Canis lupus familiaris: one gene and its partners. The protein of the gene in region 1 interacts with the protein of each later gene in a pairwise test. Links are inferred from orthologs where the notes say so. Each region holds a gene or a part of one and is shown in the gene's direction. Other genes may lie near its edges.

Region 1 (3,500 bases):
GACAAAATTTCTGGAAACCAAACTTCTAATCCACCCACTCTGTCCAGGAAACAGTGCCTGTGTGAGCCGTGGCGGGGACCTCAGAGCCGTCAGGCGCGGGGCTAAGGTGGTTTGAACGTGTTTGGAGTGGGCGGGACGGGTCCCAGCACTTGTGTGCTGGGTGCCGTGTGTAGGGAGTGTGAGCCCAAGCGCCCAAGGGTCGCACAACTTCTCTAGGGCAAGCACTCTCACCCAGGAGTAAGGGACGTCAACATCCCTTTCAGAGGACTGTTGCCAGCGCTGCAGGGTCCCCCAGCACACCCTTCCCTCACCTGTTGGGGGCGGGCGCTCTGAGTGCAGGGACTAAGTGGGATTCCAACGACCCACCCTCTGGCATCCTCTGCTCCTCCTCCATTCCCTCTTTTTCTTCTCATCTCAACAGCACCTCCACTGCCGGGACAGGATGTGACCCTGAAACCCGGTGCTGCCCTGTGTTCTTTCAGTGCACTCCCCTTCCCCCAGTCTGCTCCTGGCCCACCAGACCAGTCCCCCTGGGAGCCGCCTCCACAGCCCCCCCTGCCTCCAGCATTCTCTGCAGGGAACCCTCTGGTGCTCTCTGCTCTCCCTAGCCCATTGTTGGTGACAGGGGATGGGGGCCCTGGGCCCACTGGGGCTGGAGTCGTTGTCAAAGTCAAGACGGAAGGGGGGCCGGTGGAGCCCTCTCAAACTCAGAGTTTCATCCTCACTCAGCCAGCCCTCAGTTGGATCGCTGAGATGGCCCCCCCTGAGGGTCCTTCCTGTCAATTCGTGACAGCCCCTAACGTGAAGACCCTTCTGCCCACCAAAACCATTGGGGTGAGCCCGGAGGGCCTCCCAGGCCTTCCTGCTCAGGCTCCAACACCAGCTGCCCAACTGGCCTCCGTCGTGCGCCCAGAACAGGCTTGGCCAGGACCACACGGGGCAACCAGAGAAGGAGGTCCTTCGGCCGCCCAAGCCAAGCCGTCACTGGGTGACCTCTCCTATACCTCCAAAGGTGTTTATGAGAACTTCCGTCGCTGGCAGCGCTACAAAGCCTTGGTGCGGAGGCACCTATCTCACAGACCTGATGCAGAAGCCCTTTCCTGCTTTCTTATGTAAGTGGGGAGATTTGAGGTTAATTGTGCTAGCACTCCCAACAAGGAGTGCTTTGGGGTGGAGCAGGGATTGTGTGATTTAGGGGTCCTTGAGGGCAGGTCAGGAGGGTGCTAGAGATACTCTGTGAGCAGGAAAGCATAAAGGTGCTGCTGCTGCTGCTGCTGCTGCGCCTGTTTACCCACTTCCCAGGCTATATAAGCTTGCAGGTGTCTTCTCTCCAGTGAGCCTCACAGCCCTGAGTTCAGGCGGGCAAGCGTTTTAACATAATCCTCATTTGTAGAGGAGAAAACTGGAGCTCAGAGGTTTCCTATCTTTAAGCTGAGGAACCGTAAGTGGAGCTCAGGTCTCTGGCACCTCATCTGGGGGCCTTCCCATCTATTTTATTACTGTCTGACCTCACACTGAGCCATCCAAACCAGCAGGATGGGTGTTGGGCCCTGACCCTTCCTGGAGAGTGGAGGCTGCTGTGGGGCTGGGCACAGGGCGTGCTGCCCCTGGCCCCCACTGTCCCCCTAGCTTATTCAGAATTCCAGTTGGTATTCCAGGCAGGTGGTAGAGGAGCCTAGGGACCCTGGCCTAGCCTCCGCTGCTTGTGGGACTGCTGATCCTGAGCGCCCCACACTGAGGCCTGAGCCCAGTTTTCTCATATGGAAAGGGGCTGGTTGTACCTACCTCAGAGGGTTGCTGAGATGATGGAATGAGTCAGTATCTGTGACACTTGTAGCAGCGCGCCTGGCACAGACAGGGCCTCGTGGAGTGGCAGCTACTATCATCAGTACTGTTGTTATAAACGGGCAATGTAGACAAGGGGAAGAATTCCCAAATGGCAGGGCTGCCTGTGAGTGGATGCCTAGCAAGGGACCTCGGGGTCAGGGGCTGCCTGTGTTGTTCATAAGGCCGAGTAACTAGCCAGCTGTCTGGGGAAGCTTCTCTTCTTCCCACCCAGACCTGCTGCCTCCCCCACCTGCACGGTGCTCCCGGCATCCTATGTCGACCACTGTGTAACACATACCAGGTTTTACTGGGCTGGAGAGACAGGTGTACTGTTCCTCAGCCTCTGGGCTCCTAGAGGAGTCTCCCCCTCCCCCAACTCTGCAGTGAATACCTCTAAAGGCTCCCCCAGAGTCTTGGGTGTAGACCACCTTCCACTCCCTGCTTTCTCCAGATGGGTTCTGGGTTCTCGTGGAGCCCGGCAGGCTGCATTTCTCCCTCCTGGCCTCTCCATGCCCTCCGTACTCAGGGGCCCCAGGTAGGGTCTCCTCCAGAGTACGATCCAGATTCTTGGCAACAGTCGCCTGGGAAGCTGGTTGAATTCGCCGTGCAGAGATCCTGGGGCCCTGGAATTCCTAATTAAAACATGCTCCAGCAGGTGATTCCAGGCATGTGCTTGAGGATGCAGGCAGGTCAGAAGGGCAAAGATGAATCACGAAGAGCTTGAGGAGTATTGACAGTGGACTGTGTGTGAAGGGCATCCCAGAGGCAAGAAGACACTTAAACACCAATAAATAAAAACACCACACAGCCTTTCATCCTTTCATTAGACATTCATTTGGGTCAGGGAGTGCCTTTTTTTTTTTTTTTTTTTTTGAAAGTAAGAGCCTTTGGGCAGGGTTAAGCCTACTTTACCGTGAATCCACTGCTTTAATAAGTGCTTTAACGCTTATTATATTATTATATTATATTATTATAATAAGTGCTTTAACAAGTGCATTCTTCCTAATGTTTAGTCAAGAGTGGCACTGTGAGGACTGGGGTGCTTGATTTCAAACTTTGGGGGTGGCGTGGGCAGACTCAGTCATCTGATCTTGAGTGAGATTTGAAGATTTCAGCAGGAAGAAAGTCCAGTGTGGTCGATGGATGGATGGGAGGTTGGGGGTCTGGAGGTCCAACAAGCCGTGGAGCGTGACAAGGATCGGGAGGCAACTTAGATCTACTGAGGGACAGTGGGGTATGTTGAGGTGTTTGTGAGGACGGGTGGATTGGGGGTCCACTGTGGAACGTGACTGACCTGATGGGGGTTTTAGCCCTGTGCTTCGCTCCCTGGCCCGGCTGAAGCCTTCTATGACCCTGGAGGAGGGACTGCCAAGGGCTGTGCAGGAGTGGGAGCACACCAGCAACTTTGACCGGATGATCTTTTATGAGATGGCAGAAAAGTGAGTCTGAGCAACCCCCATTCTCCTGAGGGGTGCTGGGAGGCTGAGGGACAGGGGCATGGGTGATTATTAAAAGGGGTGCCAGGAGGACTGGTGTAGACTAAGGTGGGGCCTCCTGGATTTTCACGGCTTCCACCACCTTGACCCTCGGGTTTTCCTGTCCTCCCTTGGGAGCTCCCCCTCCTTCAGATCCTGAATCATACAGGTCCTTGATACTGAAGCTCCAAGAATGGG
Region 2 (3,500 bases), on another chromosome or scaffold:
TATGGAGACAGAAGAAGCAGCAATTGATCATGTCATGGTGTTGGTAGAGGGACACAGGCAGGAATTTTCTATAGAACTGTCATATCCAAGTTCAGTATTAAAGGAGGAGTAGCTGTACAGATGCAGGAAGCAAGGAGTGGGCTTCTAGGCAACAGAAACCACATGTGCAGAGGCATGGTAGTATGAGAGATCATGGTATATGTGAGGAGCTTCATGTGATTGGATATGACTTAAGATTAGTAACTGGAGGGCGAAAGAGGCTAGAGGTGAAACAGGAAAGGTGGCCAGAGGCTAGTCTTGAAGGGGCTTTATGATCTAGACTTGACTCTGTTACAATGGCAAATCATAGAAGAGTTTCAAGAAGGGGAATGACATGACTAGATGTATGTTTTAAGATGGTGACTCTGAGAAATATGTGGAGGATTTAATAGACATTAGCCACAAGGAGCCACTGCTGTCTCAGTTCCCCTGTAAAATGAGGGAGTTAAATTAGAGGATCTCTTACCTCTATTCTAAATAAAAGTTGATAATTATAAGCTTTATGTATCCAGCTCCTGCCTTCTGACTGATAATACCTTGATCTTATAGTTCTTAATTTTTATATTTGGTCACATGCAACTGAGAGTGTAACTTAATTATTATTCTTATTTAGGTCTGAATCAGAAAAGAACTCTTATCACCCTATCTCATTAATGACATCTTCAGAGCCTGATTTAGGGCCGTCTTCCTCCTTGATTATGTCTTCCTCTGAAGATGAGTTGCCCAACTTAGAAAAAGAGTATCCTGAGAAAAAGAGGGTAGTGATGAGCTACGCAAAAGAGCTCATCAACAACATGTGGACAAACTTTTCTGTTGAAGATTATATTCGGTGTGAAGATGCTTACTTCCCAGCCGTTGAAAAAACAAAGAAGAAACCAAGAGAATGGGTGCCAAAGATTACGGTTCCTGAGCCTTTTCAGATGATGATTAGGGAACAGAGGAAGAAAGAAGAGAACATGAAATCAAAATCAGATATTGAAATGGTACACCAACTGCTCAAAAAACAAGAAGAAGAATCAGAGTGTAAGAAAAAATTCCGAGCCACTCCAGTTCCTGCATTTGTCTTTTTCCCCCTTTATCATGACCTAGTCAAGCAAAATGAAGACCGCAGAAAGCGTTTGAAGGAAAAGAACAAAGAAGCTCTTCTGGCCTCACAAAAGCCATTTAAGTTCATTGCAAGAGAGGAACAGAAGCAAGCAATCCGGGAAAAGAAGCTGAGAGACTTGTTTAAGTCTAAAAAGAAAACAAATCGATTTAAGGCCAGACCTGTGCCTCGATCTACTTATGGCTCAGCTACCAAAGAGAAGTTAAAAGAAGAGGAGCTCTATAGAGACATTATGACACAGCTGAAAGCCCAAGAGCTCTTGCAGAATCCATCCCCTTTACCTTCTAGGTCAGGTCACAAAAGTTGTGCTCCAAGGAAGCTCAAGCGTCCTGAGCAGCCTGAAAGACTGAAGTGTACACACAAGTTTAGATGCCAGATTGCTGATTTTGAAAAGCTTCCTGAGGGATACCAGAAACACCTCTCAGAACAGAAGTGTTCAAAACTCCCAACCTCCCATAAACCACCCAATCTTCACGCAGCCTCCACTGCATCCACTAAAAGAGAGAAAATTTTGGCAGACATTGCAGCAGATGAGGAACATTCAAAAGAAACACGGTCTTTTCTGTCTCCAAGAAACAAGTCACCAGGAAGAAGTGCAAGTGCAAAGCCTGTGCCTTGTAACTGCCCCCCTCCAATGCCCACAGTGTCTTCCAGAGGGAGAGAACAAGCCACAAGGTAAACGACTAGAATATAGCACTAGCTGACCCATGGTTGCTAAAACAGTGTTTGTAGCCATATTGATTTTATGTCAGTCAATTTGAAAATATGAAGAAATTATATTTGGCAACATATTTTTGGTAGATAATATAGAGCATTTTGCCAGAGGATGTACTTCTAAGAAATGAGTATATTTTCCATTTCCAATCTTTGGGATAGAAAAGGTTAGTCAGCCTGTTGATTTCCAATTTCACAAGTCAAAGCCTTCTCAAAAGGTTGCCTTTAGTTTCAACGCTTGAATTTTCCTGTGTTAAATCTTTGCTGAACAACATTCTTACTGGCTTAAAGTGAATTAAGCCTTAGTTTGTTGCCCTCAGGAGATCACTTGAGGAAAAGAAAATGTTGGAAGAAGAGAGAAATCGGATCCTAACTAAGCAGAAGCAAAGAATGAAAGAATTGCAGAAACTCCTGACAATCCGGGCTAAAGCTTATGACTCCCATCAAAGTTTAGCTCAGATGTCTAAATCCAGAGTCAAATCTCTCAGGTATCCTAAAAGAATTTAGTAGTTTAGTTTCTGGATTCAAGTTGCTATCAATTACTTACACTCAATGTGCACACACACACACACACACACACACACTCAAACTCACTCACCTCACCTCATGGTGAGGACCCTAAAACCATGTTGCTGAGCAGAAATGTTTTATATCGTGGCCATAGTTAATAGTTGTAATCTTATGTCAGTATCTAACCTTTTTTTTACTCTATACTATTATTTTTAAGTAGACTCCATGCCCATTGTGGGGCCAAACGTGACATGATCTGAGACCAAGTGTCCTATGCTCTACTGATTGCGCCAGCCGGGCATCCCTTCCTTATGCTACTTTTGGTTGCACTGTAACGATATTGAGAAAAATCTTCTTTTTAAGTTTTGTATTTTAATTCCAGTATAGTTAACACTGAAAAATCTTGACTCCTACAGATAAAGCTCTCGTTTAATAGCTTGCTGTGTAATCTCAGAATATTGTTCAATAGGTCTGTTGAAGAGCTTTGTTCTAAGGTGCATGAAATTTGAGATCACAAATTAACACATTGATGTTAATTAACATCAGTTATGTGATATGTCAGTTAACACGTGTGTGTTTAGTGGTGTGTGTTGCAATTCTTGGAGTTTTGATATAATAAAATATAAATAAATAAAAATATTTGCAGAACCCCTTCACAGAACACTGGAATTCTGCAATACAAAGTTTGAAAACCAGTGTTCCAGAGGAACATTTTTATGTAAAAAATGTTCATGTTTAAGTAGGAAAATATCTCCCCCAAAGCTGGATAAGTAATATGATTTATTAATTTTTAATCTGATTTATAAGTACCCCCCAATCTATATATTGGTTTTTACTTATTATTGGTATTCCTTTTTAATATAGCAATTATATTTCTTTATAATGTATATTATGTTTATATTCCATGTAATGTATATCAGTGTAATTCAATAATACAGGGAACTTAATTTGATAAACTTGAGCAGAATTTTTTAGAAAAATACTATCCACCCCAAGAAAGTAAACTGGATTTTTCCTAATACCAATTTTGTGTATAAATTAATCATAAGTATCATTCTGTAGTACAATTCTTTTCTCTAATCCATGTAATCTTATTATCTTGGTAGAGTTAGTATGTTTTACATGTTATTTT
Region 3 (4,021 bases), on another chromosome or scaffold:
ACATTGCAGCTGGGGTGGGGTCAGGGCAGGTGGCCAAGGCAAGACTGCTCATCTCACCTGCACTGTCCCAAACAGGCATGAGCTACCACGAGCTTGATGAACGGCTGGAAAATGACCCCAATATCATCATCTGCTGGAAGTGAGGCTGGTGGGGGCTAAACTAGGCACACGACTGTGGCTGCTTTCGTCCTGCAAAGCGCTGTCTGGTGCATGAGGGCTAGACCCGTAGACTAGTCCGTATTGTCTCAGGGGTGACCCTCAGTTCTGTAAATAAAAGCATCTGTTTCAACCTACCTTTATTGAGTATCGCCTCTGAACCAGCCACCTGAGAACTGGCAGTGAAATAGCGGTGGTCCTGGCCCACTGCTGCGCCATCTGGTGGCAGGACTAACTATGGACAAATGTGTCCACTAATTAGGAACTGAAATAAACAGCCAGAAAGGAACAATCAGGTAGCTGTGATCAAGAATGGGGTGGGGTGGGAGCTGAAGCTGTTCTGGATTAAATAAGCAAGGAAGGCCTCCCTGAGGTGACTTGAACTGAGGCTTGATGGAGGAAGAGTATTCCAGGTTGGGGTAACAGGTGCAAAAGCCCCAAAGCAAAAACAGCTTTAGGATGTATGAGGAACTCCAGAGAGGCCCACAAGGCTGGAACATAAGAGGCAATGGGGAGAGGGGCAAGAAATGAAGTACCGAAGGGGCAAAAGTGATACTGCAGAGATGCTGGTAAGCTGGTTTGGACATACTATTTCAAGAACTGGAGGCAGCCATACAGTCACCCAGAAAAAGATTACAGCAGTTAGTTCCTCACGAGAGGTGGTGGCAGCCTGTTAGACTGGGATGGAAAGACGTGGCCCCTACGCAGTACCTGGGGGGGTAGAGCCAGCAGGCGGAGCCCGGCGCCAGACGTAGTGGAGCGAGAAAGCCACGGAGAGGGGCATCCGCGCGGCGGAGTTGGAGCCGCGACAGGAAGAGCTGGTGGGGGCAGCATGACCCTGTCCCTGAGCTGGTCTTGACGTCGGAGGAGGGAGCTTAGGCCACAGGAGTCTGTCGCTCAGGGCAGACCCTCGAGCCGCAGTCGGAGGTGAGGGAGAAGTTTGGGATCCAAGGGGCTTCCTTACCCGCCGCGGGGAAGGCGAGGCGGCCGGGGCCGGGGGCGGGGCCGGAGCCTGCGCGGGCCGCACTGCGCAGGCGCCGAGCTAACCGTTTCCATGACGGCGAGGACCCACGCGCCCCAACCGCTCCGCAACAGCTGCGTCCACAGCCTGGACCCAGCCGGAGACTTTCGGCTCCCCTGCCCCAGCGCCGGCTGCTGTCCGGGGTCAACTGAATCCCGCCTTCTGGCTCCCTGGCCCTGGCCACAACATGGGCGACCTGGAGCTGCTGCTGCCGGGGGAGGCTGACGTGCTGGTGCGGGGGCTGCGCAGCTTCCCGCTGCGCGAGATGGGCTCCGGAGGGTGAGGCAGCTGGATCCAAGGGTCGGGCGGTGTCACAGAGTCAGAGTCCTTGAATGGAGGAGTATGGGCCTGACACGGGGGAGAGGGTACCCAGTGTGGAGGAATCCCCAAGTGAGGAGACAAAGATCTCTGAGCCCCCTCTGGCCCCTCAGGATCAGGTTAGGCTGATTAGGTTCAGTAATACCCAAATTCAATAGTACCCAAACCCAGGTTAGGCTTCAGTAGCACCCCAAAACACATCCACCCCCTCTCTCTGGGGCAGGTGGAACCAGCAGCATGAGAACCTGGAGAAGCTGAACATGCAGGCTATCCTTGATGCTACAGCCAGCCAGGGTGAGCCCATCCAGGAGCTGCTGGTCACCCATGGGAAGGTATGCTGGGGTCACGGGCAGGGTTCCTGCCCTTCCTACCACCTCTCACCCCACCACTCTACCTCTCAGGAGCACCTCGGATGCCTTCACTTCCCTCTAGATGGTACTCTTGTCTTCCCCAAGAGAAAAGAGAGGAGTGTGTTACAGATTTGATTTTGCATCCCTTTTGGACAGGACACTGGCACACTAGGCCAAGTGTGAGACGTTGGTTGATTTGAGAGATAGTCGTAGATCATACAGCAGCCCAGGCTGTAGGGGGAGAGCCTACGTTCTAAAGACATCCTTGAATAGACTGTCAGGCCAGAGGGGGCCCTCACTGAAGTGGAGGTGGAACTTTGGCATGGAAGAAGGCAGCCTTCATAACTTGAGAGAAGAATTAGAAACCAGGGATGAGCCTACCTGGAAAATGAGCCAGGAGGTGACTCAAATAAATGACCTGAGATATCACTTGACAAAAGGGTTCCTCTGCAAAGAAAAGGTGGAGCCCCCTACTGGAGGGTGGGAGAGGACTAGGAAATTGTGCAGGGCCCTGAGTAAGGGTGAGGTCAAGGCACATGAGAACCTTGGAAGGCAGGAGGACAGGGACAAGGAGGGCATGAACAGGAGAGCCAGCCTGAGAGGAACACCTGGATGAGGACAGAGGGGACAAGGGTGTAGTTGGGGTGGGGAGGTGTAGGGGGCCAAGGCAGCCCAGGGACAAAGCAAGAGCCAGTTATAGGAAGCATGGGGAATGTCCCCACAAAGTTATTGAGAGCAGCTAGAAATGAAGGTCTAAGGTGCAGGAGAGAGCTTGGGAAGGTACCTATGGAGAGAATCTAGGAGCCTAGGGGAGTTTGAGGAGTCAGGCAGGACCAAGCCAGGGATGGGAGGGTGGCAAGGCCAAGGTAGGCCTACTTCATCTCTGTCCTTTCCTCTCCCCCTCAAAGATCCCAACACTGGTGGAGGAGCTGATTGCAGTGGAGATGTGGAAGCAGAAGGTGTTCCCTGTGCTGTGCAAGCTGGAGGACTTCAAGCCCCAGAACACTTTTCCCATATACATGGTGGTAAGCTGGGCCCCTGGTCACACCCTGCTCATGCCTTTAGAGGGCTCTGGATTTGACAAGAGAGCTGGTAATCTGATTCTTCCTTCAGTGGCTCCACGCTCTGTTCTCTTTATCTGACAGGTACACCACGAGGCCTCTATCATCAACCTTCTGGAGACAGTGTTCTTCCATAAAGTGAGGCATCAGCCCTGTCCACAAGCTGTTGCCACAGGCTAAGGCCTGACTGGGAAGAGGGGTTGTGTCTGTGTGGGGAGAGCATCAGAGACAGAATGTTCCCCTCTGCCTGTCCCTCAGGAGGTGTGTGAGTCAGCAGAGGACGCTGTCTTGGACCTGGTAGACTACTGCCACCGAAAACTGACTATGTTGGTGGCCCGAAGTGGCCGTGGCAGCCCTCCCGAGGAGGAGTCTCAGGAGAGCACCCCCATTCAGGTAGGCTGAGGGTCCCTGGAGGTGCCAGTGGGTATAACACGCTCTCTCAAGGCCTGAGCAGGCAGGGGGTGGCCCAGCTAGAGCACCATGTGCCCCTGCCACCCAGGAGCTGCAGAAGCAAGCAGAGCTGATGGAGTTTGAGATCGCATTGAAGGCCCTCTCAGTGCTGCGCTACATCACAGACTGTGTGGACAGGTGGGCAGTCCTGCAAGGCCCAAGACCTGCAGTGGAGGACTGGGATCCTGGGCCTGTAGCCGCCGCTCACTTCTCTCCACCACCACCCCTAGCCTTTCCTTGAGCACCTTGAACTGCATGCTCAGTACCCACAACTTGCCCTGCCTCCTGGTGGAACTGCTGGAACACAGTCCCTGGAGCCGACAGGAAGGTGGTAAGGTCTTCCCCACCCCCTTGCCTAAGCCCCAGCTCATGGCTTCCCAGACATACCCCAGGATTGATGGGGACAGGCAGCTTGCTCACAAACTGCCCGCTAGCTCATAGAGGAGCCCAGAATGCCTCACACAAACTAGCTTAGACCTGGGCTTTGCAGCAGGTAAGGCCTGTGTGTCCACTGCTAAAGACTCACCCCGCTCTGGAGCAAGCAGACACCAGCCTTGGTGAGTCGTGCACCCGGGCAGCACTCAGGACCCCAGCCCATTCAGTTGGCTGACTCAGAGTGTGTAACACCTGCTCCTAGTGTTCTGGCTCCTCTCTCCAGGCAAGAT
Region 4 (4,223 bases), on another chromosome or scaffold:
TTCCATCAGAGTTTCCTCTCCACAGATAACCCCTTTGTTTTTGATAGCACTGGAATAAGAAAATCCTAGTGCTTGTCCTGTTTTTCATCTCAAAAGGCCCAGGGATTTGGACCAGTCTTGTGTTTTCCACTTTTTTCCACTGTGTGGCACTGAGTACATTTAAAAAAAAAAAAAAAAAAGAAGATTTTATTTATTTATTTGAGAGAGAGAGCACAAGCAGAGGGAGCGGCAGGCAGAGAGAGAGAGAGAAGCAGACTCCTCACTGAGCAGGGAGCTCCATGTGTGGCTGGATCCCAGAACCCTGATCACCACTGAGTGGAAGGCGCACATTTAACCGACTGAGCCACCCAGGTGCCCCCACATTTTTAAATAAAGATCTTCTTGCCTGCTTCAGCATCTCCCATCTTGTTCACAGGGTTAGCGGCTCTGCCCACTGCTTGCATGGAGAACACTTAGCAGTCACCCAGGCTGCTGGTGGGCCAGAAAGTGCACTACAAATTTGAGGCTGGTGTTCTCACAGTCGTGCCTCAAAGACCAGTGCTGGATGCCCAGCCAGGCATGTGCTCACGTCTTTTACAACCTAATCTCAGAAGTGACATACTGAGGAGGTGGGGATGGATCACTGAGGTTAACATGGAGTCTAGGTACCACACAAGGCAAAATCCAAGGTCTGAGTATGAAGTTATAACTTGAAACTGCAGTATGTGATGTGAAATAGTATAAGCTAATGTATTTGTACATTCACCAGTCCACGAACTATTCTAAGCACATTACATATATCATCTCATTTAACCTTCACAACAACTTCATGAGGTAGGCGTTGTTATTATCCAGAAGGGAAAACCGAAGTACAGACAGGTTAGTGGCCAAGTGGGAGTACTCTTATAAAGAAAGACTTATCAGCACATGAACTTGAGCGTCGGGGAAGGTCATCCGCTGCAACCAGTGTCCGTTGTAGGAAAATTTTACTGACTGATGAACCACCTGTTAGTTCTTCAACTGCTGGATCCATGAAATGGGAGGATTCATTTTCAGCTGGCCACAGCCGCTACCCAGGGGCAAGAGACAATCCAGCCAAATGCAGTCACAGGCCATTCATTTAATAAGCAGTGGGAACCAAAAGTAAACCAGAAATTCTCCCCTGATGCGATCCCTAGAATGGTTCCTAAATAGGTTCTCAAGGACTTCTCTCTGCCCCCAAGGCTCTTTCTAACTTTGAGTAACTTCTGAGGTCTAGAGAAGTTAGGAAGAAGAAAGTTTCACTTTTGAAGGAAGCCAATCAGACCCCTGAATGTATCAGGTGGGCTGTGGAGAGGACTAGAGAAGGCTCAGTGTTCTTGACTCCTCCCCACCATGCGCAGGGTGGGGTTCCCCAGAGCAGGCTATTTCTCCGCGCACATTCCCAACGCTCCTGCACAATGGAAAACGCCCTGCAACGTTTCTACTCGCTTCTGCCCAACTTTCCTGTACTCCGTCAGCTCCTCCCTTCCGGCACCACCCCAACCTGTTCTTGCTGCTATTCACAAGATTCCTTTACCTTCTTTCCTTTCTCCAGAGTTCTTTCATTTTTCCCTCCGTGTCTGTTGTTTGCAGCCTGCATCTTTCCAGCCTTTCGCCTCCTTGATTCTGCCCTACAAAGCTTTGTGGCCTGTGCTGACAAGTGCCCGAGTGTCTGATAAATGACTTTAATGTCAACAAACGGGGGCGGGGCGGGTAGAGTAAGCTCCGGGAGTCGGGAGGCGACCCGGGAGGTGAGCTGACTCGGCCTGCTGGGGCTGTCCGTGTGACCGAGGCCTCCCGCCTCCGCAGGCCCGGGCTTGCAGGAGCCCTTGAGCCCCGCGGCGGAGCAGGCCCGGGCCGCTGACACCACTGCGTCCCGCGGCCGAGAGGGCGCGGCGGCCTCGGCGGGCTGCAGGTGGGGGGCGGCGGCCTGGCCCCCACACGCGGCAGCTCGGGGCCGGGTGCCCGGGCTGGGGGGTCCCCTGGGGCAGCAGGCCGCGCCGACGCCTGGGCCTGGAGCGCGTCCAGGGGCCCGGGTGGGGCCGCGAGCACCCAGTCAGCCGCTGGGGCACGCGGGCCGCGGGTGGGGCAGCGCGGGCGGGCGGGCGCGCAGGGACACTGTTTGCACAAGCGAGGCCGAGGGTTTGAGCCGCCTTCCCTCCGTCTCGGCCCCGCTGGACGCCGCGTGGCCCGGGGCCACCTGCTGGGGAGCGCGGGCCCCGCCCGGTAGGTGCGGGGGGCGGCGGGGCCAGGGGGCAGAACGCGGGACCGTGCGGGTGGGGGCGCGGGAGGCGCCGGCCCCAGGGGGAAGGCGAGCACTTCTGGGGCACCGGGAGGGGCGCGGGCGCGTCACCAAGCCCAGGCGGCCGGCGGGGGTGGGCGAGCCGGGAGCGCCGGAGCACCCGCGGGGCCTGTGCCTGCCGTGGGTCCGGGCCTCCTCCGCGGCCCGGCACCGCGCTCCCGCCCCCGCCGACGAGCGCCCGCGCCCGCGCCCGCGCGGAACTCCGCCGCCCAGACCTTCCGGGACCGCGGGGCAGCCGGCTCCCCGGGGCCCGCCCGCAGGACGGCAGCCCAGCCTCGGTCCTCCCAGTCGGGTGGGCGCCCTGCCCGCCCCTGCCCGCTCTGGCCCTCGGGTTCGCGGGGGCACCGAGAGCCGCGCGCGCAGGTGCCAGTTTATAGGCTTCCTTAACGGTATCGTTCCCTTCCCAGGGCGCAGGGCGCAGGAGCAAGGGCACCTCTCTCTAATCTTAGTCTCCTCACCTCCTAAAAGGGTTTTTTGTTTGTTTGTTTAAGTAAACACGAGCACCCGCCTGAACTCAGAACAGGGAAATCAAGATTGCGCATGCCCTACCCGCAGAGCCAGCCAGGCCCCCGCCTGAGAGGCTTCGGATTGCGGACGGAATACTAACGACTTGGAGCTTTAGAAAGTGAATAAACACGTGGAAGTCCTATGCAGGCGTAGATTTGGCCCATGAGTGCAATTTCCTAGATAAATCTGTACAGTCGTTTCACATTTCTGAAGAATGGCACATATGTACAAAACTTACCAAATTGCTATCACCTCTGGTAAATCATTTTATCCTCAAAAATAGCCCTTTTGGGGCACCTGGGTGGCTCAGTGGTTGAGTCGGCCTTGGACTTAGGTCCTGATCCCCAATGAGTCCCTCATCCGGCTCCCCACAGGAAGCCTGCTTCTCCCTCTGCCTACGTGTCTCTCTCTCTGTCTCTGTCTCTCATGAATAAACAAATAAAATCTTTAGAAAAAAAATAGCCCTTTTGCAGATAAACTCTATTAAGTGAAGTTGAATAAGATAAATGAAAATCTGAAAATAGCCAGCCATTTTAAAAGAAGTACAATTCAAACTATATTCAAACTATATTCATTTTCTTAAAAGATTGTATTTATTTATTATTTATTTATTTATTTGAGAGCGAGAGAGGCAGTAGGGGGAGGAAAGGGGGGACAGGGACAGACTCCATGGTCAGTGCCAAGCCAAAGGCAGGACTCAATCCCACTACCCTGAGATCCTGACTTGAGCCAAACCAAGAATGGGATGTTTAACTGACTGAACCACACAGGTGCTCTAAATTATATTCTTACCATTAAAGTTTTACTGTCCATATTACATTACTGCTATAATTTAGGCTTTATCTACCTGCCCCCCCCCCCCAAGGTCTTAGAATCATGAGAAACACAATTTTTATTTTGTCGAACAGGGCTATGGATGATGTGAGAGTCAGGCCAAATGTATGTTATCCTGGAAAACAACTGATCCTATCACCCTTTAGAAATTTAGTTTTGGAATAAATAGCAGATTTGGGCTTGTTGCTTGTCATTTCCTTTTTTAAGTAAAGTGCTATATGAGAAGAAAACTGAGTTAGCTTAGCTTTTCTTTTTATTGGATCTTGAATAACTGGAAGTTTGCTGCTCTCAAGTGTGTTAGATGAGGAAAGTCATTCAAAGTTTGAATCAGTGTCAGTGGTTGTCCTTTCAGGGACTGAAAGTGGGAAAAACCCTGGTTAGTTTCCTCATTCCTGTTTCCTCTACCCTACCTCCACTTGTGTCTGTAACTTCACATAGACTATGACATAGTCTTCACATTACAAAGATGTATGGTGCAGTTCCTCATTTCACGAATGGGAAAACAAAGTAGTGAAATGACAGCTGAAGGGCACACAGCTCTTCAGAAGCTCATGCTGGGGTCCTTGCTAGGTGTTCTGTG
Region 5 (3,500 bases), on another chromosome or scaffold:
CTCTATAGTACGTAATGACAGAAGATGAGCCACAGCTTTGACTTACTGGGAAATCCCTTCTGCTCCTGGCCTTTAATCTCTGCAGGGATAAGACAGCTATGTTTTTTTTTTTTTTTTTCTTCTAATTTTATAATCCAAGCCGCATTTCTAACTTTTGGATTGAATCTTACTTATCTATGTATCAGTGTATCGGGGGAAGTGTTTTGGTTTGTGGGATGATGCCAAGAAGGTATCAGCCTGTCCCTTTCCTCTTCCACGACCAGCTGGATATACATTAGTGCTGTCTCGGGGGGAACAAATCCAGGACTGGAAGTGAATAAAGTAGATGAGAGCTGTGTGTGCAAGAAGAGTGACTCCACAGGTATACTTATTTTGGCTGTTTCTACAGAGATACCAGTTCTTCCCTTTAAACCAGAGCTCACTTGGCTATCAAGCATCCTGCTCAGTGAATGCAGGGTTGAGCTTCGACCCTCCTCACACAGTGCGTCACCAGAATTCAATGGGAGGGAGACTTCCAAGCTTAGCTCTTTACTTGGATATTTTTACTTAAAATTTTGGTGGAAGCTGGCTTCCCAGATTTTCCTTTAATAAGATATTGAGATACTAAAGTAAATAAATAATCACTATTATATTTTAATATTTATAAAGTATTTCACATGACTTTATAATTGTATGTATTGCTTGCTTTTTTAAAATTTAAATTCAATTTGCCAACATATAGTATAACAACCCAGTGCTCATCCCAAGTGCCCGCCTTAATGCCCATCACCCAGTTACCCCATCCCCCCACCCACCCTCCTCCTCTTCTGCAACCGTTTGTTTGTTTCCCAGAGTCAGGAGTTTCTCATGGTTTGTCTTCCTCTCTAATTTTTCCCCACCCAGTTTCCCTCCTTTCCATTATGGTTCTTCTATTTCTCATATTCCATATATGAGTATAACCATATGATGATTGCCCTTCTCTGATTGACTTATTTCACTCAGCATAATACCCTCCAGTCCCATCCACGGCGAAGCAAGTGGTGGGTATTTGTCCTTTTTGATGGCTAAGTAATATTCCTTTGTGTATATATATACCACATCTTCTTTATCCATTCATCTGTCAAAGGATATCATGGCTCCTTTCACAGTTTGGCTATTGTGGACATTGCTGCTATGAACATTGGGGTGCAGGTGTCCTGTCGTTTCACTACATCTGATTGCTTTTTTAATGAATCTATTTAATAACATTATTCCATTCTGATAGTTGGGCAAGCAGCATACAGAAGTAGCTATATGGTCTGGAAACATGCGGGCAATTACTCCGGGCAAAATGATAACCCAACTCTTCTTTATTTTTTATGCTTGCTCTGTTAAAATCTGCCCATCCCAGAGAACTCAAACTATGCAGTTCTAGGTGGAGAAGTAGGACACAGCAAATTGAGATTACCAGTTATATTTCTGGCTTTGCAGTCTTTTCACTGGGGTTTTGGGCTCATCATTTCCATTCTCCCAAACTTCATTTCTCCTCTTGTTAAAAAAAAAAGGGTAACTTATGTCCTATCTTTCGCCAGAGTGGTCGTGGTGGTAGTTAGAAGCACACTGAGCTTCTTAGAGAAAGATGCATTGGGAGCATTAGAACAATTCAGCACGTCCTGAGAGGCACTGAAAATCATGCACAGAGACTAGCAGGCCATGGGTAGCTGCCAGCCCATGGGCGTCCAACAGCCAAAGTGGGCACCAGTTGGTGGGCACAAATAAGACATCAGACCCCTATGGGAACCCAAGCTAGAAACAAAATCTAGAACCAATTTGTCTCATACTGCTCTGTTCTGTATGTAGGCCAGTTAGGAATTTTGAAGGCTCTATTAGATTTGGGAATGGATTAGCTTTCACTGCTCCAGGGAAGAATAGATTGGGTCTGCCTGCTTTTCTTTTTCATGGCATTTTTGGGTTTCATTGTGAGTAGTTATTTAATGTCGCTTTTCTCTATTAGGCTCTAGACTCTGAGAGATTAGCCTCTAGCACAGTATCCAGTACATGGTAGATGTTCACTGAAGATTTTTTGAATGGGTAAATGAATGAGTGAATGAATGAAGGAAGGAATGAGTAAAGCTTTTTTCCCATTATGTAAAACTTACCATCATACTTTCCTACTGCCATCGTTACGATCCCTTGTTTGTTTGTTTTGTTTTGTTTTGTTTTTTTAAGATTTTATTTATTTCTTTATTCATGAGAGACACACAGAGAGAGAGAGAGGCAGAGGCATAGGCAGAGGTTGATCCTGGGACTTCAGGATCACACCCTAGGCCAAAGGCAAGTGCTAAATCATTGAGCCACCCAGGGATCCCCATGATCCCTGTTCTAATAGTGTTAAATACCACTTTCCTTCCCAAAGTCCTTTGTACCCTCAGATCTACTGGGCCTAACTCAATCTTTTTTTAATACCAGGTGCTTTTCTGAGAGTGAGGGCCTTATATCCTCCGGTGCATGGACACAGGAGCTTTTCAGGGTGTCCAGTTGCTGGTCATGTGTGACAGGGAAGCTTTAGGAAACCTTGGCAGCCCTCCCTGAAACCATTGCTTGTTAATCTGTATTATCCCTGCTCTGATTTCTTCTAGGTCCAGATAATAAGAGGATGGCCAGAAATGTGTTGAAATATGAAAAGCTTTTGGCTGAAAGCCCCAATCAGGTGGTAGCTGAGGCTGTCATCCAGAGGCCCAACGTACCCCACCTGCAGACCAGAGACACCTATGAGGGGTTATGTCAGACTCTGGGATCCCAGGTAGGATTCCTCAGGGAAAGAGAAAGGGGGAACAAGCTAGAGAAACAGAAGGTAGAATTGGAATGATGTGAGGGGGGAAAGGCTGATGCATTAGAAAAAAAAAACAAAACAAAACAGCTTATTTGGATAGTATCAGAGTGACCACATTCTGAATCTCCTGCATGCCAGTTTTTTGTTTTTTTTTTTTTGTGCCGTAATTCCCTACATTGGCTTCTGCTCGACCATTCACCTCTTATGCTGATTCTAGGCTTTCCTTCCAGCCTACTCACTACCAGATCCCTAGCCTTTACTGCTCCTATGAGACAAATTCAAGCCCCTACCTGCTGCTCCAGCCCGTCCGGAAGGAGGTCATCCACCTGGAACCCTATGTTGTTCTCTACCATGACTTTGTCAATGACGTGGAGGCTCAGAAAATTAGAGGGCTTGCAGAACCGTGGGTGAGTGTCCCTAAAGCCTGCCAAGAACTTCTGTTTGTGTCATCACATGCCTGGGGTTCAGGAATGTGAGAACAGGCAGCCTGAACAACTACACACTTTAGCAGGCCAGGAATTCAAAATGCCAACTGTTCCATCAAACAAATAAATGGTGAAAAAAATCACAGTAGTCGTTGCTTCTGGAAGGAGGGGATTCGCTGGGGAAGGCGACAAAGGCATTTTTCTGGGGTGTTGAAAATGTGCTCTCCATATCTTGTTAGGGACATGGAGTACACTGCTGTGTGCACTTGTTAAAATTCAGCAAG
Region 6 (4,047 bases), on another chromosome or scaffold:
CCGCCGGAGGCCCCGGGCGGAGCAGCCGCGGCCCCCCGACCCCAACCCGCCGCTCACCCCGCGCCCAGTCCGCCATGGCGCCCGCCCCCGGCCCCGTCCCCGGCCCCGCCCCGCCAGCGGCCCAGCCACCGCCTCAGCGGACGTGGCGCAACCGGGGAGGACCGGGACCCCGCCGCTTCCGCTCTGCCCGCCGACTTCCGGCCGACGTCCGGCCGACTTCCGGACTAGGGGGGCGGGCCTTAAGTGCCGAGGACGCGTGACAGACGCCGCCAGCGGCCAATGGCGCGGAGGGCGGGGCCGGGTCCCGCTCCGGGCGTCCCCGCTTTCCCCCGCGGGCCTGGCTGCTGGGGTCGCCGCGGGTCCCCGCCCCAGGCGTTGCCGAGGGGACGCGGTGGAGGCCAGGGCCTGGAAGACGCAAGGGTGACGCACTCCGAAGGGAAGCGAAGCCAGACGGGGGCCGGGAGTGTGGGGGCAGCAGAGGCCGTAGCGGCCGGTGCCTCTTGCCTTGGTCCCGGCGCCGCGGGAACGGAGGCGGCCCACAAAGGCTGGCTGCACGGCGGGCACCGCTGCGACCACACACACGGGAGAGGGAGCTCAGTCCAGGCCACACACCTGGGACGTGGCTGCCGGTGATCCTGACCCTCCCCGCCCTCCCCTGGAGCTCAGGGACATGTTTGCGTCCCCGCCGCGGCCACCGAACGACCTTCCCCCGGATCCCTTCTTATCGTCCGGCCTCAGCAGAAATGCTACTTCCGCACATCCCTTTGCAGCCCACTTTATTCGCCACAGCGCTGAGACCGCTGCCCGTGGCTCCTTGCCCTCACGTGCGAGCTCACGCTCCCAGAGGGCCGGGAACCAGCGGTCGGCGGGTCCCGGGGCCGCAAAGTCCTTCCCACTTCGCTTTTCCCCCGGACTTGCACTGGTGCTAGGCATCTAGGGGGGCGTGCGTGGGAAGGTGAGTGGGTCCCCGTTAGCTTCGGAGGCCGCTCAGCTCCGAGGTCGAAAAATCACCTAGTAGGACCTTTGAAACTCGCGCTCACTCCCCGGCAAAACACTCAAGTCCCAGCCAGCTGATCCAGGTCTCGCCCCCTTAATGAACCTACAGCCCTGGCCCCGCCCCGCGGCGCGCGCTCCCAGTCCCGGCATGCCGCGCGCGCAGCCCTGGCCCCGCCCCGCGCGCTCCCAGTCCCGGCCTGCCCCGCGCGCAGCCCTGGCCCCGCCCCGCCCCGCCCCGCCCCGCGCGCTCCCAGTCCCGGCCTGCCCCGCGCGCCCAGTCGGGGCGGAGCGGCGGAACTCCGCCCGGAGCCGGGAAGCAGCTCCCCTTCCCGCCGGCTCGGCGCGGGATCCCGGAGGCGCCATGGATCCCCGGGTGGTTGCGGATGCCGTGGAAGCGGGCGAGGAGGACGTGATCATGGAGGCTCTGCGCACGTACAACCGGGAGGTGAGCGCGAGCCGTGAACGTGCTTGCACGGAAGAGGTGGGCCGGGCGGGGCTCGCGTGTGCGGACCCGGGCCTGCGGGCTGCGGGCGGCGGGCGGCGGGCGGCGCGCGGCGGAGGGGCCGGGGTCTGCGCGCACCTTGGGGGACGGGGAGAGGCGGGGGGGGTGCGGGCGCCCGCGGCGGCCGAGCCCGCTGAGCCTCCCCGTCTCTGCAGAACTCCCAGAGCTTCACGTTTGACGACGCCCAGCAGGAGGACCGGAAGGTGGGTGCGGACCGAGGGCAGGGGGCGGGGGCGCGTGGCCCCGGGGTAGGGGGCCTGCTGGAGCCGCTCTTCTTCCCGCCCACAGAGGCTGGCGGAGCTGCTGGTCTCGGTCCTGGAGCAGGGCTTGCCACCCCCCCGCCGCGTCACCTGGCTGCAGAGCATCCGCATCCTGTCCAGGGACCGAAGCTGCCTGGACCCTTTCACCAGCCGCCAGAGCCTGCAGGCCCTTGCCTGCTATGCCGGCATCGCCTTGGAGGGGTCTGGCCCGGAGCCTCTGGACATGGACGTTGTCCTCGAGTCCCTGAAGTGCCTGTGCAACCTCGTGCTGAGCAGCCCGGTGGCACAGGTGCTGGCAGCAGAGGCCCGCCTGGTGGTGAGGCTCGCAGAGCGCGTGGGGCTGTATCGCAAGAGTAGCTTTCCACACGACATCCAGTTCTTTGATCTGCGCCTCCTCTTCTTGCTCACGGCACTTCGCACTGACGTTAGGCAGCAGCTGTTTCAGGAATTGCGGGGAGTGCACCTGCTGACTGATGCGCTGGAGCTGACCCTGGGAATGAGCCCTGACGAGAACCCCCCGGAGCTTCTTCCTCCCCAGGAGACCGAGCGGGCCATGGAGATCCTCAAAGTGCTCTTCAATATCACCTTCGACTCCATCAAGAGGGAGGTAGACGAGGTGAGGACTGACTTGAGCCCACAGGTAGGGCTTAACGGTGTGGACACTTGCTGGCTCTGTTTGCCTATAGCGAACTCGTAGGTTCCAGGTATCAGACGGGGAGAGGACGGGAAGAGCTCTCAGCCTATTGGGAGGAGGCAGGGAGCTGTACATCATGTACAGGGGCCTTCAGAGACTGTCTGAGAAAGGCAGAGGGCATACCTGGCACTTGCAGCCTGGTAGGAGGGCTGTTTGGTACATGGAGAGGTCACGAGCAGGACACTAGAGTAGGTTGTGATTTTTATCCCAGGAAGACCTGGTAATGGTCTTGGTTAAGGAAATGCTTTCAAGGCTACGTGGGGGAGGACGAGGGGTTGGGCACACAGTAGAGAAAATGCATAGTCCGTGCATGTGATCCCAGAGTGGGGCCTCCTCTCACAGGAACCCCTTTCTTTTTGGTCAGGAAGATGCGGCCCTTTATCGGCACCTGGGGACCATTCTGCGGCACTGTGTGATGGTCGCTGCTGCTGGAGACCGCACAGAGGAGTTCCACGGGTGAGGGTGGGGCCCGTTCAATGGAAGGGAAGTGTGCTCAGGGGTCTAGACAGTAGTTCTCACCCTGGCTGTCGGCTAGGCTTCCCCCTGGAGAGGCTTCACCTACAGGGGTGGGATTTCCATCAGTGTGTGTCTATGGTAAGGGGCTAGGACAAGAGAAACGAATCCAAGAACGGTATCTGTGTCTGCAGTGGAGTTAGTAGTAACCAACCACGTGGTAGTTAGCGAGTAACTGCTGAGTTCTGTTTCGGCGACTTGTGCCTGGGCAGGTTCTGGCGCTCCAGAGATTGTCCGCGGGGCTTCAACCCAGACGGAGCGTGCCCCCTTTCTTAGGAACTCACCCCACCGACTATGTGGGAACATCTCTAGGGTCAGTCTCACCCTCAGTACCGGCCCCTGGTTCTGGTCATCAAATCCCTAGATGCTAGTTCAAGTCACATGCGGCCTCTTTAGGGGGCAGCAAGGCTTGTACTTATGCTGGGGGGTCGGACCTATCAAGCCCTCCTCCTGATCTGTCCTCAGCCACACAGTGAATCTCCTGGGGAACTTGCCCCTCAAGTGTCTGGACGTCCTCCTTACCCTGGAGCCACACAAAGGCTCCCTGGAGTTCCTGGGAGCGAACATGGATGTGATTCACGTCCTTCTCAGCTTCCTGGAGAAGCGTCTGCACCAGGTGGGCAGAGGGACCTGACCTGTGGGGTCCTCAGTGGCTCTGACTTTCCCAAGCAGCCTTGATCACTGCTTTTTTTACGGTCACACTGGTAAGCAGAGTGTGATTCAGGCCATTTCTCCAGCTGCTTCGTGGTCCAGTTTGGCAGAAAACCAGATTCTACCTCCCTCAGAAACACGTGGCCCCTCTCACACGCACACACTTGAAGGTTTTACCTGTGCTGGTTATCTTGACGGGTTTTCAGAGTCAACAGCGGAGTTTGTGTCTTAGAGCTGTTTGTGGCTGTCTCTAGAATCCTTGCCTGTGCCGTCAGAGCACTAGCATTGCTGTGTGCAGGCAGCCCTCGGGACGAGTGACACTTGTCTCTTGGCATCCCTTGGGGAACCCACCACCACCTCGAGCCAGAGGCTGCCTGGTTCCCATGCCTGCACACAGGACGTTGGCCAGCTAGACCTCCAACCAGCCCCTC
Region 7 (3,500 bases), on another chromosome or scaffold:
CAGAGAGGTTAAGTCATTTGCCCAAGGTCATACAGCAGTGTCTGAATTTGAACCCCAGCATCTGTCCTTAAGTCTGTATTCTTCACCACTACCCCAAATGGGTGGGTGGTGTGAATGAGCAGGTTCCTTCATCCAAAACAAATAAATCCTACACAGGACAGAAACTTACATATGACCCAACTTTATTATACAGCTTCTTAGGGGTATGCATGTACACTATCCAAATGTTTTTTTTTTTTTATAGAAACTCACTGAAGAAGCCAGGGATGGAAATGTGAAAAAATCATTTTATTTTTATTTTTTTAATAAATTTATTTTTTATTGGTGTTCAATATGCCAACATACAGAATAATACCCAGTGCTCATCCCGTCAAGTGCCCCCCTCAGTGCCCGTTACCCATTCACCCCCACCCCCCCGGCCTCCTCCCCTTCTACCACCCCTAGTTCGTTTCCCAGAGTTAGGAGTCTTTAAGTTCTGTCTCCCTTTCTGATATTTCCCACACATTTCTTCTCCCTTCCCTTATATTCCCTTTCACTATTATTTATATTCCCCAAATGAATGAGACCATATAATGTTTGTCCTTCTCCAATTGACTTACTTCAATCAGCATAATACCCTCCAGTTCCATCCACGTTGAAGCAAATGGTGGGTATTTGTCATTTCTAATGGCTGAGTAATATTCCATTGTATACATAGACCACATCTTCTTTATCCATTCATCTTTCGATGGACACCGAGGCTCCTTCCACAGTTTGGCTATTGTGGCCATTGCTGCTATAAACATTGGGTGCAGGTGTCCTGGCGTTTCATTGCATCTGTATCTTTGGGGTAAATCCCCAACAGTGCAATTGCTGGGTCGTAGGGCAGATCTATTTTTAACTCTTTGAGGAACCTCCACACAGTTTTCCAGAGTGGCTGCACCAGTTCACATTCCCACCAACAGTGTAAGAGGGTTCCCTTTTCTCCGCATCCTCTCCAACATTTGTGGTTTCCTGCCTTGTTAATTTGCCCCATTCTCACTGGTGTGAGGTGGGATCTCATTGATTTGTATTTCCCTGATGGCAAGTGATGCAGAGCATTTTCTCATATGCATGTTGGCCATGTCTATGTCTTCCTCTGTGAGATTTCTGTTCATGTCTTTTGCCCATTTCATGATTGGATTGTTTGTTTCTTTGGTGTTGAGTTTAAGAAGTTCTTTATAGATCTTGGAAACTAGCCCTTTATCTGAAAATCATTTTAGTGATCACCTCTAGATGGTGGGATTTTCAGGTGATGTACATTTTCCTCATTGTGCCTATTTGTATTTTCCAAGTTTTCTACCTGGTCTAATAGAATGATAAAACTAAGGTGATTGCATTTCCAAAGAATGTTGTGATGAAGGGGCCAGCAGCTGGGAGTCCTGTCTGGGAACCACTCGGGGCGGGGGAGGGGAGGCATCAAGGGGGAGGCCACCCCCATTGCTGATGCTAACAGAGGTCTTCTCCCTCTGACCATCCAGGACATCATCGAGGGGGGTAACCTGCGCATACCACTCCAGGAACTGCACCAGATGATCCTGACTCCTATCAAGGCCTACAGCTCCCCAAGTACCACCCCCGAAGCTCGCCGCCGGGAGCCCCAGGCTCCACACCCACCCTCACTGATGGGCCCTGAGGGCCAGAGCCCCGACTGCAAAGACAGTGCCTCGGCCAGCAGTGCCACGGCCAACACCTCCGCTGGGGCCAGTGGTGGGCTGCAGCCACACCAGCTGAGTAGCTGTGATGGGGAGATGGCTGTCGCCCCCCTGCCGGAGGGGGATCTACCCGGGCAGTTCACACGAGTCATGGGGAAAGGTAGAGCCTGATTCTCACGCCTCCCCCTTTTCTTCACTCTACACCACTAACCAGAGCTCCTGGTTCCTGAGGGGCTCCCCGGATGCTGGATCAACCTGTCAGGGTTGATGTCATTAGCCCATTTACAGATGATCGGAGTGAGGCTCAGAGGTCATCATTTGGATCTGAACTCTGATCCCTCTGGCCCCTAAAGGCCTCTTCCTCAACCCTGTCTCCTTTCTCTTCCACTCCTTCAGACCAGGGCTTGCTGGGCCCTCCTAGTAGAGTGAGTGCTCATTGGGCCTTTGGGCCTGCAGGCAGAAGTCAGCCCTTACTACAGACCAGGCCTGGAAGGCACCACGGCCATGCCCTGTGCCTGTCTGGAAAGCAGGACAGAATTCTCATGTGGTCCTTTGGGTAAGAGCACTCTTTCTACCTGGACTGCCCTGTGCCTCCCCTGTGCATGGCACAGTGATTATGTGATTATAGTCCTTTTTTTTTTTTTTTTAAGATTTTATTCATTCATTCATGAGACACAGAGAGAGGCAGAGAGAGAAGCAGGCTCCCTGCGGGGAGCCCAATGTGGGACTCGATCCTGGGTCTCCAGGATCACACCCGGGTTGCCCTGATTATAGTCCTTGAAAAGTCCAATACTAGAATAATTTGTACTTGAATGTTTCATAAGAAAGTGTGATTATTTTTAAAATGTAGTGAATACCAGCTACTTCTCCTTTGGGAAGGAGAAACAATTTTTTCTTTATTGCCCAATCATTTTAAAGAATCAAGTTCTTACCAAAAGAAATGGACACCTGAGTCTTACAGGTGCAGTGAGAAACTCCCTGTGTATACATGTCCTAAAAAAGACTTAGATCCATAGAAATCTGATTCAGAGGAGACAACTTGTAGCATCCCTTTGAGCTGAGAGGCCAGTCAGCTTGATGGCCAGGGTGAGTCCCTGGTCTCCCCCAACTCACCTCTGAGCCCTCTTAACCTCCTGACCTCCTACCTCTGAGTGGGTTCTTTGCTGGTGGGATTAGAACAGATGACCTCATGGGTAAAGCTACATGTAGGAGGTGGAAACCTGAGTATAATCCATGGCGGGTTCTGTCCTCAGAGGATCCAAACTCCTTTGGCATGGCTTCTTTTTAAACTTGAGCTACTTTCAAATTAATTACACAATAAATTCATGTTCAGCATAAAATCAAAACTAAACAAAATGATGGAAAGTGAAGAATAACCGGTCCCCCAGGCCCTGCCATCTTCCTCCCATGAGGTGCGTGTTCTAAACAGGCTTGGCTTCTCCCTTCAGAAACTTTATAATATTCATATACAAGCACGAGTGTCCTTTTTACACACAAACAGGTGTTGTTTACATGTCTTTATGCACCTTGTTTTTCTACATTATATATTTTTAATATTTCTATCAATATCATACTGATTCTTTTTAAGATTTTATTTATTCATTTATTTGAGAGAGAACACATGAGCAGGGGGAGGGGCAGAGGGAGAAGGAGAAGCTGACTGCTGAGCAGGGAGCCTGCCGCAGGACTTGATCCCAGGACCCTGAGATCATGACCTGAGCCGAAGGCAGATGCTTAACTGACTGAGCCTCCCAGGCGCCCCCGGATTCTTTTTTCAAGGTTGCATACTGTTCCACTGTATGCATAAGGCATAATTTAACAGGGCTC

What was found.
Region 2: the proteins of NUTM1 (region 1) and FAM161A interact in binary tests that used the Homo sapiens proteins (3 or more experiments, as listed by UniProt). The two-hybrid records come from large-scale screens. The link is inferred for Canis lupus familiaris from reciprocal best matches to the Homo sapiens genes NUTM1 and FAM161A.
Region 3: the proteins of NUTM1 (region 1) and ZMYND10 interact in binary tests that used the Homo sapiens proteins (3 or more experiments, as listed by UniProt). The two-hybrid records come from large-scale screens. The link is inferred for Canis lupus familiaris from reciprocal best matches to the Homo sapiens genes NUTM1 and ZMYND10.
Region 4: the proteins of NUTM1 (region 1) and SH2D4A interact in binary tests that used the Homo sapiens proteins (3 or more experiments, as listed by UniProt). The two-hybrid records come from large-scale screens. The link is inferred for Canis lupus familiaris from reciprocal best matches to the Homo sapiens genes NUTM1 and SH2D4A.
Region 5: the proteins of NUTM1 (region 1) and P4HA3 interact in binary tests that used the Homo sapiens proteins (3 or more experiments, as listed by UniProt). The two-hybrid records come from large-scale screens. The link is inferred for Canis lupus familiaris from reciprocal best matches to the Homo sapiens genes NUTM1 and P4HA3.
Region 6: the proteins of NUTM1 (region 1) and RIC8A interact in binary tests that used the Homo sapiens proteins (3 or more experiments, as listed by UniProt). The link is inferred for Canis lupus familiaris from reciprocal best matches to the Homo sapiens genes NUTM1 and RIC8A.
Region 7: the proteins of NUTM1 (region 1) and SAMD4A interact in binary tests that used the Homo sapiens proteins (3 or more experiments, as listed by UniProt). The two-hybrid records come from large-scale screens. The link is inferred for Canis lupus familiaris from reciprocal best matches to the Homo sapiens genes NUTM1 and SAMD4A.

Annotation. Positions count from the first base shown.
Region 1 is NC_049251.1:1,030,957-1,034,456, reverse strand, and holds part of NUTM1 (NUT family member 1), read left to right. Parts: intron 1-421; coding exon 422-1,112; intron 1,113-3,137; coding exon 3,138-3,266; intron 3,267-3,500. UniProt on the Homo sapiens protein: Plays a role in the regulation of proliferation. Regulates TERT expression by modulating SP1 binding to TERT promoter binding sites.
Region 2 is NC_049231.1:63,114,868-63,118,367, reverse strand, and holds part of FAM161A (protein FAM161A), read left to right. Parts: intron 1-652; coding exon 653-1,819; intron 1,820-2,178; coding exon 2,179-2,346; intron 2,347-3,500. UniProt on the Homo sapiens protein: Involved in ciliogenesis.
Region 3 is NC_049241.1:39,416,503-39,420,523, forward strand, and holds the start of ZMYND10 (zinc finger MYND domain-containing protein 10), read left to right. Parts: upstream 1-1,221; 5' UTR 1,222-1,364; coding exon 1,365-1,456; intron 1,457-1,718; coding exon 1,719-1,827; intron 1,828-2,753; coding exon 2,754-2,870; intron 2,871-2,990; coding exon 2,991-3,044; intron 3,045-3,164; coding exon 3,165-3,299; intron 3,300-3,405; coding exon 3,406-3,494; intron 3,495-3,586; coding exon 3,587-3,687; intron 3,688-4,014; coding exon 4,015-4,021. Other genes in the region: GATOR complex protein NPRL2, read left to right, coding at 76-143. UniProt on the Homo sapiens protein: Plays a role in axonemal structure organization and motility. Involved in axonemal pre-assembly of inner and outer dynein arms (IDA and ODA, respectively) for proper axoneme building for cilia motility.
Region 4 is NC_049237.1:22,874,002-22,878,224, forward strand, and holds the start of SH2D4A (SH2 domain-containing protein 4A), read left to right. Parts: upstream 1-1,423; 5' UTR 1,424-1,751; intron 1,752-1,761; exon of another isoform or gene 1,762-1,915; intron 1,916-2,056; coding exon of another isoform or gene 2,057-2,763; intron 2,764-4,223. Other genes in the region: collagen alpha-2(I) chain-like, read right to left, coding at 2,057-2,763. UniProt on the Homo sapiens protein: Inhibits estrogen-induced cell proliferation by competing with PLCG for binding to ESR1, blocking the effect of estrogen on PLCG and repressing estrogen-induced proliferation. May play a role in T-cell development and function.
Region 5 is NC_049242.1:24,127,079-24,130,578, forward strand, and holds part of P4HA3 (prolyl 4-hydroxylase subunit alpha-3), read left to right. Parts: coding exon 1-7; intron 8-2,597; coding exon 2,598-2,761; intron 2,762-3,021; coding exon 3,022-3,198; intron 3,199-3,500. UniProt on the Homo sapiens protein: Catalyzes the post-translational formation of 4-hydroxyproline in -Xaa-Pro-Gly- sequences in collagens and other proteins.
Region 6 is NC_049239.1:25,713,967-25,718,013, forward strand, and holds the start of RIC8A (synembryn-A), read left to right. Parts: upstream 1-1,247; 5' UTR 1,248-1,357; coding exon 1,358-1,441; intron 1,442-1,653; coding exon 1,654-1,701; intron 1,702-1,786; coding exon 1,787-2,374; intron 2,375-2,816; coding exon 2,817-2,908; intron 2,909-3,430; coding exon 3,431-3,581; intron 3,582-4,047. Other genes in the region: BET1L (BET1-like protein), read right to left, coding at 58-76.
Region 7 is NC_049229.1:30,959,994-30,963,493, forward strand, and holds part of SAMD4A (protein Smaug homolog 1), read left to right. Parts: intron 1-1,499; coding exon 1,500-1,833; intron 1,834-3,500. UniProt on the Homo sapiens protein: Acts as a translational repressor of SRE-containing messengers.